Saccharomyces cerevisiae S288C: one gene and its partner. The gene in region 2 interacts genetically with the main gene of each other region. Each region holds a gene or a part of one and is shown on either strand. Other genes may lie near its edges.

Region 1 (8,274 bases), on a different chromosome or scaffold from region 2:
GAATAATTCATCCTCCACAAAAGCGTTCTCGGCAACGTTTCTTTCAGCAGAAGTGGACAAAGTCGTGTTTTTAAATGTATCAAACTCTTCTTGTTCCTTTATCATATTTTCTACTATGTTATCTTCTTCATCTTCGGAGAAGTCATAGTCGAATATAAGAGGCTTTCTATGCTCCTTATTTATAGATTCGACTTTTCTACTATCGTTATCCTCTGCTTCTTTTGAAATCTGAGATTTAGTGGGAACGTCCTCAAATAGTTCTTCTGATAAAACTTCTAAGTCATCGTCCTTGTTTTCATCATTGGAGCTCTCTTTCTCGCTTTCTCTTTCTAATATTTCCGTAGCATTTAAGCCTGTCAAGAGTTCATAGCTACTCCCTTTATTGGTAGTTTCTGCTCCACTTTCTTGTTCATTTCTTACGTTTTTATCTTCCACGAAATTTGTTGTGTTATAGGGATTATACAACTGCTGGGAAGCAGTTGAAGAAAACCAGCTCGGCATTTCAGGAATTGGAGACTTTTCCTTCGTGGCTTCTTGGGACACATTACTCTCGGTATTCTTTTGAAAAAGCAGGGAATTTTCATTGTTAAAATCAAACTGTGGTATCTTGTGAGAAATAAAATTCAGGTTTTGCTCCCCCTCTGTTAAAATAGCCCCTTTATCCTCCTGCTGAGACGGTGGCCTAAACTCAGAAAGAACTGTCTTGCTGGTCCTTTTGATGACCGACTCTGATTTGCTATTCAAATTTGTGACATGATACGGTTGCTTACTATCCGGTTGTGCGCCAAGTAATCCATACTGTACTATTGGTGGACGAGCCTCTGTACCTTTTGACGTTACCGGCTTAGCGATTTTTGATTTGTCGTCCGCTTCAGGTTTCTTTTCCATCTTAGAAAGTTGCACTGCCTCCATCATTTCAATTTCCTCAATTTGTTTCAGGTAATCCTCATCGTCGTCTTCCACGCTGATTCTGCTAATTCTCATTGTTGGAGTAGTCTTGGAGGGCGATGCCTGATCATGTCTTTTGTCCAAAAACGATTTACTGCCAGCGTTGTTTAGGGATTGGCCCATGTAAGGCAACCTTGCAGCTTTCAAAGAAAAATCTTCCACAAACTTGACGTTCTTGGGCTTGAGTTCAACTTCTTCCCACTCACATTCATCAGAGTCACATCCCTCATCTTCTGACCGGTTACTCCTTTTCTGTGGAGCTGTCGTCGCGTTAGAAGACTCATGTCGCACTATTTTTAAGGAATTATCTTCCAAATCATCCCATCGGAGCACGTCCCCGTCCTCAGCATTACTATCTAACTGCTTTACCAAAGCGCCTGCATCTTTATCGTCTATTACGATTGCTTTTTGCGCATCAGAGCCATCGTTTGCCCCTAGTCCAAGAATCCACCCGTTATTAGTCTTAGTCAACTTGTACTCTTTACTCTTTTGGCCGGATATCCTATTGATCACCTCCTCGTTCAGCTTAGACGCTCCACCATCCTGAAACCCAGTAGTGTTGATTAACTTTTGAGTAAAAAAATTCCTCCTTTTCACCATGTCTATTTGAAATCTTGAGAAATCCATACTATTTGGGAAGATGGTCTCCAATTGTTCTTTCGAGTATCCCATCCTCAGTCTTGATTTCAACCTCAACGACGATAATATCAAATACTGTGTGGCCTTTGGCAGCTCTTCAAATTCGGCCGATGCTGGATTTATAGTGTCTAAATCAATGTCTTCCAGTCCATCACCGTTTATCGAATTCATCAGTTTTTCAAAAGTTTTATTAGAGTTAACTCTTGCATCTTCCTTATCGTATTTGAATCCCGGTATATCGGGCAAGTCCCACTCGTCCTGAGGTTTGAAGATCTGCACACTACTGCCACTACTCGGTGTAGAGTTTTTTACGTTATCGTTTGAGCCGTTTTGCAATTGTAAAGCCAGCAGCTTCCTAGCGGTGGATTTCGCACTCTCTCGTTTTCCCTGTCTTCTTTCTTTCCTCTGCCGTATTGTTTCCCTTTTCAATACGGGCACACCACCATCAAAGACGAATACCGGCCTAATGCCAAAGTATAATAGCTTACAAATTCTTCTAAAGAACCCAGTAATATGAGAATTCTTCACTGCATTCCCCTCCTGATCACGGACAGCTTTCAAAAACTGATATATCCAAATGGAGGCATCTACTGCCATTCTCTTATCTTCCAAGGATTCCAGCCTGACCGGTCTTGCCGTAGGACCTGCAATATCCCAAAATGAATGCACACCCATGTCTGAAGTTTGGCGTTCTCCCGAAAATGCTTTTCTTCATGGATGACGTGTAGAACCTTCAATGATTTACGTACAGTTTTTCAATCCCTTTAAGGTCTCTATATGTGGCGGCATCTTTTCTTTTTCTTTTCTTTTTTTTTTTTTCACTCTCCCTTTTAATGCCTCCACGGAGGTTCGAATGGGTTATACTAGAAAGAAAAAAAAATAGTGATAATTAACAATGAAAAAAAAAAAACAGCAACAAAATGTGGTATTGGGGTCACACCACTCATTGACTCACATCCTCTGGAAACATCAAAAAGCTACCAAAAAAGAAAAAAAAAAAAATTCAAGTGCGAAGTTTCCGCATATGCAAACCTTACTTATTGTATAATATTGGTAACAGCAGCTACTAAGCTCCCTGACTCTGATTTCTCTCTCTGTCTCTTTTGAGGAGTACCTTCTGCGCTACTGTGTTCCAATGGTATCTGCGCCTTGAAAATCAATCACAAACGCTCTTGCTATGGCCTGCCTTGGACACGATACGTCGCTGCTTATGCCGCCAGGTGTCAGTAAATGCTCTGACGCACCCATTCACCCCGCGCACTAATTTGCAAAATTTGGGGGCAGTTTGGGAATACTCCATAGAAAAAATCGACTTCAAATCAATTCCGCACAACGTCGCCGTGTTGGCTAAAGTGAACGGAAAATGGACGACATGGTAAAAGAACAGATATGTACATATACAGAAGCCGCGATTTCACATGCCGGCCATTATGGCACACAACCAGGTCTTGTACTGTCACTATGTGCGTTCCGGAACGCCTGTACAGTCCATGGTGAACCATTTATTTATTTATTATTATTATTTTGTACATTATTATTTATGCTATATGTTATTATTATTATCACTATTTAATATTATTATTCGGGTCCAGGTGAAATAACAAAGTCTGGCGCCAGTCACTTGTCTGGGTGCCCGTATTCTCTGTTACAGCGGTATCCCTCTGGATTCTGCAATCGTCGCCGGCTTCTACTAATTTTTCCTTTCCTTTTTGTTTTTTTTTTTTTTTAGTTTTTTATTTTCTAGTTTCCTGCTCGTATTCTGTTGGTTTTTCCAGTGTCTCTCTCCTTTTACAAGTCACCCATTCTCTGCGAAGAAGCGGTCGCACCAACAAAATAGAAAATACCACCGGACGCCGGATCGCTTATTACTCGCAATCATAGTTACCAATCACAGCCGGGCATACTCGGGATCTACCGTAGAATCCTATGCGTCACACATGAGGACAGGTTACGAACCGTCGAAGGCTTCGCGGCGTGTGTGATTAGTATTGTTTTGACCTCATCCATACACCCTGAAATATCTGTCGCATCTCCGATTACGTTAAAAATTCTGGATAATATATAAACCATGAGTTTTCCTTTCTTTGAAGTATGTTCCTACTCGAGATCCTTTTGTTATTTTATTGCCATTTTTTTTTTGTTTCATATGTACTTCTTATCTACTATTTATATTTCTCTATATTAACTAACTCTCCAAGCTATAAGCATACGTCCATATTTACTGTCTTAGAAGTCGTATTCACATCACAGTTTTCCCCCTCTTCGCCTTTTTCAAACTATTTTCCCCCGTGAGACAGCGACTGAAAAAAAAACGACTGCGCAGAAGGCTTATATAAAAAAAAAAAGAAATATTTCTTCACTTTCGAGCATTGAACTATTGTCATTACCTCTAGATGAGCAACAAATTTACAATGGAGTCACCTAAGCATTTGGTGGATGATGTGCTTTTCATATCACCCACCAATGATGGATCAGAAGAAAAGCCTACGGAAGTCACGTTCCAGGAAGATGAAGGCCATGACGCTAGCTTGCATAATCGCAGCCATGACAAGAAGTCGGAACTTGCCACCGAACGGGAAATTATGGCTACTACCACGGATGATGACGGCATCCCCTCCCCTTCCCATCCAATGGAAAAGCGTGTCTTGCGCAAAATGGATATATACTTGATTCCTCTTATGGGGATGCTATATTTCCTTTCTAACCTGGATAAATCGAATATTGGTAACGCAGAAGTTGCAGGTCTATCCAAGGATATCCACCTTGTAGGAACGCAATATAACACATGTGTCACAGTTTTTTTCGCGACGTATGTTCTTTTCGACCCCATAGGTACTAACCTTCTGAAAATTATGGGTCCGCCATTAATGATGAGTATCTGTTTGACCTGTTTCGGTGCTATTTCGCTCGGAACTGCTTGGGTTAAGAATTATGCTCAATTGATCGTTGTCAGACTACTACTGGGTGCCTTTGAAGGTATGATTTATCCCGCTATTAACATGTACCTTTCAGTCTGCTATAGAAGAGAACAATATGCTCTGAGGTTCGCTTTTGTCTTCAGTGCAGCCTGTTTGTCTTCATCTTTTGGTGGGCTGATTGCTTATGGTTGTTCCAAAATCAGCGGTTCTCTAAAGGACTGGCAATACATTTACATTGTCGAAGGTTGTATCTCTTTGGGGTTCGTACCATTCTATGCCTTCGGGTTGAGCAAAAATTTGGAGGATTCGTGGTTTTTCAATAAGGAGGAAAAAGAGTACATTTCCGAAAGATACAAGACTATGAACACTTTTGACCCGGACGAAAAATTTGAATGGTTCCAAGTGTGGCAAGCAGTTAAGGATGTCAAGACTTGGGCTAGTGCTGTGGCATTATTCGGTATCGATTTGACTACTTTTGGTCTAACAGTCTTCTTGCCGATCATCATTACCAGTATGGGGTTCACTAATGTCAGAGCTCAATTAATGACCGTGCCCATCTATTTCCTTACAGCAATTGTGTTCTTCATTTGTGCCGTTTGGTCTGATCGTATAAAGTTGAGATCTCCATTCATCCTGGGTGCTTGTCTGACGACTTCGATAGGCATAGCTATCGTCCTTGGTTCTCAAGTTCATGGTGTGAGATATTTTGGCGTTTACATTCTTTGTATGGGTATTTACGTTAATGCTGCCTGTAACTGTTTATGGTTAAGTGGTAACACTGGTAATTACTTCAAGAGAGCCACCGCTTTAGGAATTAATCTATTTTTCGGGTCTGGTTCAGGGTTGGTCTCTGGTCAAATTTTTGTTGCCAAAGACAAGCCAAGATATATCAAAGGGCTGTCGATTAGTCTGGCCTTTCAAGTCTTCTCCATATTTATGACGGTTGTGCAAATTTTCCTATACAAGAGGGAAAACGATAAAAAGAAAGCAATAATAGATCGCTGTAATGAATTGGGAGAGCCTATTCCATACGACGAAAGGTTAAGCGACAAAAACCCTGAGTTTAAGTACATGTATTAGGCTTGACTTTCTTCACCCTCCACTTTTTTTGCCCCTCGTTATGAGTGTGTTTGCAATTTGTAACTTTTCTTTTATATTTGTATGTATTTTTGTACTAAGCAAATTCACATGAAACTTTGTTTACCAACTTCTCTTTTGTTTTCGTCCCAAACACGTATATTACTGGGAAGATATACATGCCTATATCTATATCTATAAATATACATATTTATATAGTATTATCTCCGAGTTCTAAAGCTCCAGATGCGAAGAAGACGTTCCCGAAGAAGACGTTCCCAAAGAAGAGTCACTATACTCATCATCGTCACTGCTCTCTTCCGATTCGTCTTCATCCTCGTCACTGCTTTCTTCCACCACCTTTATAATTTTCCTTGGTTTACTCTTCCTTTCTGGAATGTCGGAAAAAAACTCGTCCAGGCTTTGCAAACGATATTTCTTCCCGTTTTGAGATGTGAAGGTGTTTACGTTACCTTTACCTGAGATGCTATTGCTATCGCCGTCATTGATCCCAGTCAATTTTGCGTTGGAGCTAGATGTGAAAGATCTTGCTGAGTTGTTGGTAATAAAAGACTGCGATGAAAAACTTTTTTTGTATTTGTTATAGTCTTTCAATTCTGCGCCTTCTCTAATATCGTTACCTGTCTCGCCAACCTCAGTAATTTCAGTATTCCAAGGAAGCATTCTAAAAAATTCTTTTATTTCTGGGGTATGTGTTTCCAATCTTGCAGAAACGATAAAATCGTCACTTCTTGCCGTAGGTTTAGGTGCTTGTAATAGTAGTGACACAATTTCATATTTCCCTGAATCAAACAAGGATGAAATCATCCTGGCTCTATCCCTAATATCAAATTCGTCATCATATTTTGCCAAGTAAAGGACCGCATTGTACATTTGAGAGATTCTTGAACCACTAAAATCATAGTATGGGGGATTTTGGTTATTTTCTTCGCTTCCAGTAACTTGCGCTTGCTTAAAATTATCAATGTCATATGACAACAGTTTTGCTGATAACACTAAGATCTGACATCTTGTCTCAGGACCCTCATTTGAAAAATTCTGGATTAGCCTCCTCAAAACGTCCGGACATATCTTAAATTCAATCGAGGCAATTTCACCAAATAACCAAACAATACCTGCACGAGCATTATCAGCCAAACTCGTTTGAACTGTTAATAAATCTGCAAGCTTGAAGATTATGCGAAGATGTTTTGTAGGATTTTTTTGCACCAGCATCCTGATAACATTCACGTATGCATCTAGGACAGAAGCAGAGAGGTTGTGGGATTCCATATGATCAATTAACCACTTCATTACATGTGATTCCCAACTCGTTGACAATTGGCCACATCGAGATAATGACTTAACCGCCATAATAACAACATTTTCTGGGAAATGAGCACTGGCAACATAATATTTCAATTCTTTGAATATTTCTTTAACGTTTGATTCATTTATTAACGTGGACAAAATTTGGATCTTCCAAATTGATGCCACAATAGGATCTTTGGGGAAAACGTAAAATTTCTTGGTGTAGGGTAAAAATAGTGTCTGGTCTAAGATCGATAAGAAGTGAATTGCTTGTAAAAGCATTTCTTTGTTACCTTGGTTTTCTGTCATGGTTACCGTTCTAACCAATGCTTCAATAAATTTAGTATTTTTCATCTGCAATGGTGAAGCTAACTGATATAGCGCATTGCAACACGATAAAATCACTGTAGGGTTGGAACTATAAATTAAGCAATTCAAACTCTGTAGAAATAAATCTAAATCAGGGTCATTTACCACCTCGTAAGATGGGTATTCAATCTCGTTGTATTTATCTGGTAAAGGACAACTCCTTGGGGAACCTTCTGATGATTTATCGACCACAGTTGGTTTTGGTAAATACTGCTTACAGTACTTGATTAGCAGCTCAATTAAATATGATTGTGACCACGAATCTAGTTGCTTAATTATTCTACAATATCTGCGAAAATGTCCATGCAATAGCTCCAAGTGATCCGCATAACATTCTTTGTAAGCTAGGACAGCACAGGATATCACCTTAGGATCTGTATCTGCCATTAATTCTTTCAGAATATCCAACAATTCTTCATGATAGTCATTCTTTCCAGCCCTATATAATTTGATAATGGCCAAGGCGACTTCACCACGAACCATTGCAGATGGATCTGTAACCAATTTCTTGACAGTATGCAAAATTATAGGTGCTAATGATGACATTTTCATGTCAGAAAGGGCACTCAAAGCAAAGCATCTCAGTTCGGAATTCGAATCAGACAATGATTTTTGAAGAGAATTAATAGATAACAGGGTCAGGTTTGGGTCATTTTCTGCAAATCTAAGTAAATACAGGTGAATAAGTCTTTTCACTTTGGTGTCATTAGTGGTGATATTCTTTACAACATCAGCAAAGTATAATTGAACGTCAATAGAGTCATCATCGGAAGCCATTATAGATATTATTCTCTTCATTGCATCTCTAACTTCTCTAGAGTTCCTAGAATTTAACAAGGTGACTAACTGTTGAGGATTGATGTTTTGAGAATAATAAGTATAGGAGGATTCACCCAGCTTAGAGGTGGCTACCGCGGCAGCTTCCCTCGTTATTACTTTGGCCGTATCCAACGCCGATGCAATACGGTGAATTGAATCTACCATTGCTGGTTGTCCACTTTTCGATTGTTTG
Region 2 (3,802 bases):
CCATCTTTCAAAACGTCCAAGTCATAAAAATAGTCGATCAATGCGAAATTCCAACTATTTCGGGAATTGATTTTATTATCTGTAGCCATTTTGATCCATTCTTCAAAATTTGCCATCATGGTGGATCTATTGGTAAAGAGATTATATTCTACTCTTTCATCGTCATCGTTATTTTCATACCTTAGTTGTGTAGTCATCTTATATAACTACCTGCTGGTTTTTTTTGCTCCAAAAAGTCCACTAAGATGATTTTTTGGTGCAATAAATAGAGTATTTAACTAGCCAATATAAAAAGTTCAACCATATGGATATTATCTTGACAATACTTCACTAAAATGTAAACAAAGAAAGCGCGAACAGAGCCGTTTACCGTTTCGCGTGATCAACATCACATAAAATAATTAGTGTATTATATATATATATATATATATATATATGTATATATCACTTATTTTAATAATCCTCTCCTAGCGTACACGGATGGCAAGAATAAACTGGCTTCAGGAACGTTCTCTTGTCAAAAATTTGAAAAGCTTGTAACCGCCAATAGATAACATACCGAGTGTCAGAGATTCTAAGAATTTCAAGATACGTGTTTGCTTTCCAGCCCTTTCTAAAGCTCTAGAATACGAGATATCGGATCTGAAAGATATCATTGTATACAAAGGTATCCACTTATCCTTCATTATAATACTAAAGAGAGCATCTAGCTTTTTCCTTAATAAAAACCGCTTGGATGTAACGTCATGTGACATTTCTTTATAGTTCCTTTTTGCCAGCTCAGTAATAGAAACTAGGTCCTTATGTCTTGTTTGAGTGTACTCAGTAAAGGCTCTTGAACGATCTCCTGAATGCTTTTTCAATAGCGCCATAAGAATTCTCACATCTTCAAATCCGCAATTCATACCTTGGCCGTAAAATGGAACCATTGCATGGGCAGCGTCGCCGAGTAGGATGGCCTTTCCGCCTGGTACATCGTATGGCTTACAGTTTACACAGACAAGACTTTCCTTTGGATAAGTGATAAACCTTTTGACAGCATCGTCCAAATCCATAATATTAATAATATCGGGAAAGTTCTCGATTAAGAATTCCCTCACACGTGACTTGGAAGTTATCAGATCTGATATTTGATCTTTAGAACCGAAAAAGGTTGAAGTGAACGAGCCGTCACTGTTGGCGAGCGCAATTAACATGAATTTATGACGAGGCCAAATGTGCAAATGGTCAGGAGCTATTGCAAAATTTCCGCCATAGTTTGGCTTGAATTCCTCAGTAGGCGGGATGTAAAGTTCAATGTAACGTAAATTCATATATTCTTGTGAAAAATCCATCTCAACTTTACGTTGCATTTGCGATCTCGTCGCAGAGTATGCTCCGTCACAACCTATGACAAAATCATACTTTTCAGTATGTGGGGTTTTCAAATCTTCCCCAATGGCAAAATGACAGATTTGTTTATCATCTGTCCATTCGATTTTGACTAATTTGTGACCGAACTTCAGTTCTGTTGTAGATTTTTCTAATTCGTCCAAAAGGCTATTATTTAATACAGATCTATTGATAGAATTAATAGCTTCTCCATGCAAGCCATACAATTGTGATTCCTGTCTGCCTTTCAAGTCATGAATCATCCTGCCTTTCATGGGAATCATATCTTGCAGAATATGTTCACAAGCATCCGGATCTATTGATTTCAGAGCATCAATGCCACGAGCAGAAATAGCCAAATTAATGGATTTCAAATTTTTATTTTTGGTGGTGTCCAATCGAGGATCTTGTCTAAAATCATATAGTGTGACATTGTAGCCTTCTTTGGAGAATGCCAAAGCTGCAAGGCAGCCTACTAATCCTGCACCTATAATGGCCACTGATTCAGACATATTTTCAAGTTAAACAGATTAACTGACTACGTGATTTTTTAACTGTCATTCAATATTTTATTATTAAAAACAACGTCCGTGCCAGAAATTCGGGCCTTTTATAAGAAATAGTGGCGGAAAAAAGAGTCAGTGCTAAGAATGGAATAAACTAGAGGCTATTGTGGGAAAAAAAAAAACAACTCCAAAATAAAAACCGCTTGCAGGCGATATTTCCTTATTTTTGTAGTAACTCATTTCCTTAGAAGAAAAGTAGGGGCATTATTTACCATAAGAATAATAATAATATATAATAATCAAAATAAAAAAATTCTAAGATATTTAGATTTTTCAGGGTTATTGTTTGGCTGCACTTTAAATTTAGTTATGTTTTTTTTCGTTTTTTTTTTTAAAATTTCTATATTTACATTTCTTTTTGAGACGTACCTTATATTCATTTTTATTTTTTTAGTTCACATTAAAAAGTGGCAACAAATGATTCAGTAGCACTCTTTAGAGATGCCAACAATTCTTTAGACAATTCACCCTTTTCTCTAATTTCGGTCAAAAGCTCATTGTGATTGGATTTTAGATAGGACAAAAAGGAGGACTCAAATTCACCAATTCTTGATAGTTCAATACCATCCAAATGACCATTAACACCGGCATAAATCAATGGAACCTGTTCTTCTGTAGCCAAAGGAGAATATTGGTTTTGCTTCAACAATTGAGTCAATCTTTCACCTCTAACCAAAGTTTGCTTGGTGGAGGCATCTAAATCGGAACCGAATTGAGCAAAAGCAGCGACTTCTCTGTATTGAGCCAAAAACAATTTCAAGGAACCAGCGACTTGCTTCAAAGCCTTAACTTGAGCAGCGGAACCGACACGAGAAACGGACAAACCAACGTTAATGGCAGGTCTGATACCCTTGTAGAATAATTCAGCTTCCAAGAAAATTTGACCATCGGTAATGGAAATAACATTGGTTGGAATATAAGCGGAGACATCACCACCTTGGGTTTCAATAACAGGCAAAGCAGTTAAAGAACCAGAACCTTCCTTTTCAGAAAGCTTAGCGGCTCTTTCTAGCAATCTTGAATGCAAGTAAAAGACATCACCAGGGTAGGCTTCACGACCAGGAGGACGTCTCAACAACAAAGATAATTGACGGTATGCCACGGCTTGCTTGGACAAATCGTCATAGACGATCAAAGCGTGCTTTCCATTATCTCTGAACCATTCACCAATGGATGCGGCAGTAAATGGAGCCAAGTATTGTAGAGGAGCGGCTTCAGATGCAGTAGCTGCAACAATAATAGAGTACTTCATGGCGTCATGTTGTTCCAAAGTTTGGACCAATTGAGCAACGGTAGATCTTTTTTGTCCAACGGCAACGTAAACACAGTAAAGTTTCTTGGATTCGTCACTACCGTTATTCCATCTCTTTTGATTCAAGATGGTGTCTAAGGCGACAGCAGTCTTACCTGTTTGACGATCACCAATAATCAACTCTCTTTGACCTCTACCGATAGGGACCAAGGCGTCAACGGCTTTCAAACCGGTTTGAACTGGTTCATGGACAGATCTTCTTGGCAAAATACCTGGTGCTTTGACTTGAGCTCTTGAACGACCGGCAGCGTCAATAGGACCTTTACCATCAATAGGGTTACCTAAAGCGTCGACAACTCTACCCAAAAGGCCTGGACCGACTGGGACATCAACAATATTACCGGTTCTCTTGACCAATTCACCTTCTTTAACCAGTCTATCGGAACCGAAAAGAACGATACCGACTTGACCAGGCTCCAAGTTCAAAGCCATACCTTTAACACCAGAGGAGAACTCGACCAATTCTTCAGCCTGAATGTTGTTCAAACCAAAAACACGAGCAATACCATCACCGACTGCAAGAACTCTACCAGTTTCGTTCAAATTGGCCTCG

Evidence for each region.
Region 1: mutations in BNA4 (region 2) and TNA1 together harm fitness more than expected from each alone (negative genetic interaction), as found in Saccharomyces cerevisiae (3 studies listed by BioGRID).

The regions. Positions count from the first base shown.
Region 1 is NC_001139.9:1,008,505-1,016,778, forward strand, and holds TNA1 (Tna1p), read left to right. Parts: upstream 1-3,980; coding exon 3,981-5,585; downstream 5,586-8,274. Other genes in the region: ssDNA endodeoxyribonuclease RAD2, read right to left, coding at 1-2,262; APL6 (AP-3 complex subunit beta), read right to left, coding at 5,817-8,246. UniProt on the Saccharomyces cerevisiae protein: Involved in the uptake of nicotinic acid.
Region 2 is NC_001134.8:37,226-41,027, reverse strand, and holds BNA4 (kynurenine 3-monooxygenase), read right to left. Parts: upstream 1,884-3,802; coding exon 501-1,883; downstream 1-500. Other genes in the region: condensin subunit BRN1, read right to left, coding at 1-197; ATP1 (F1F0 ATP synthase subunit alpha), read right to left, coding at 2,338-3,802. UniProt on the Saccharomyces cerevisiae protein: Catalyzes the hydroxylation of L-kynurenine (L-Kyn) to form 3-hydroxy-L-kynurenine (L-3OHKyn). Required for synthesis of quinolinic acid.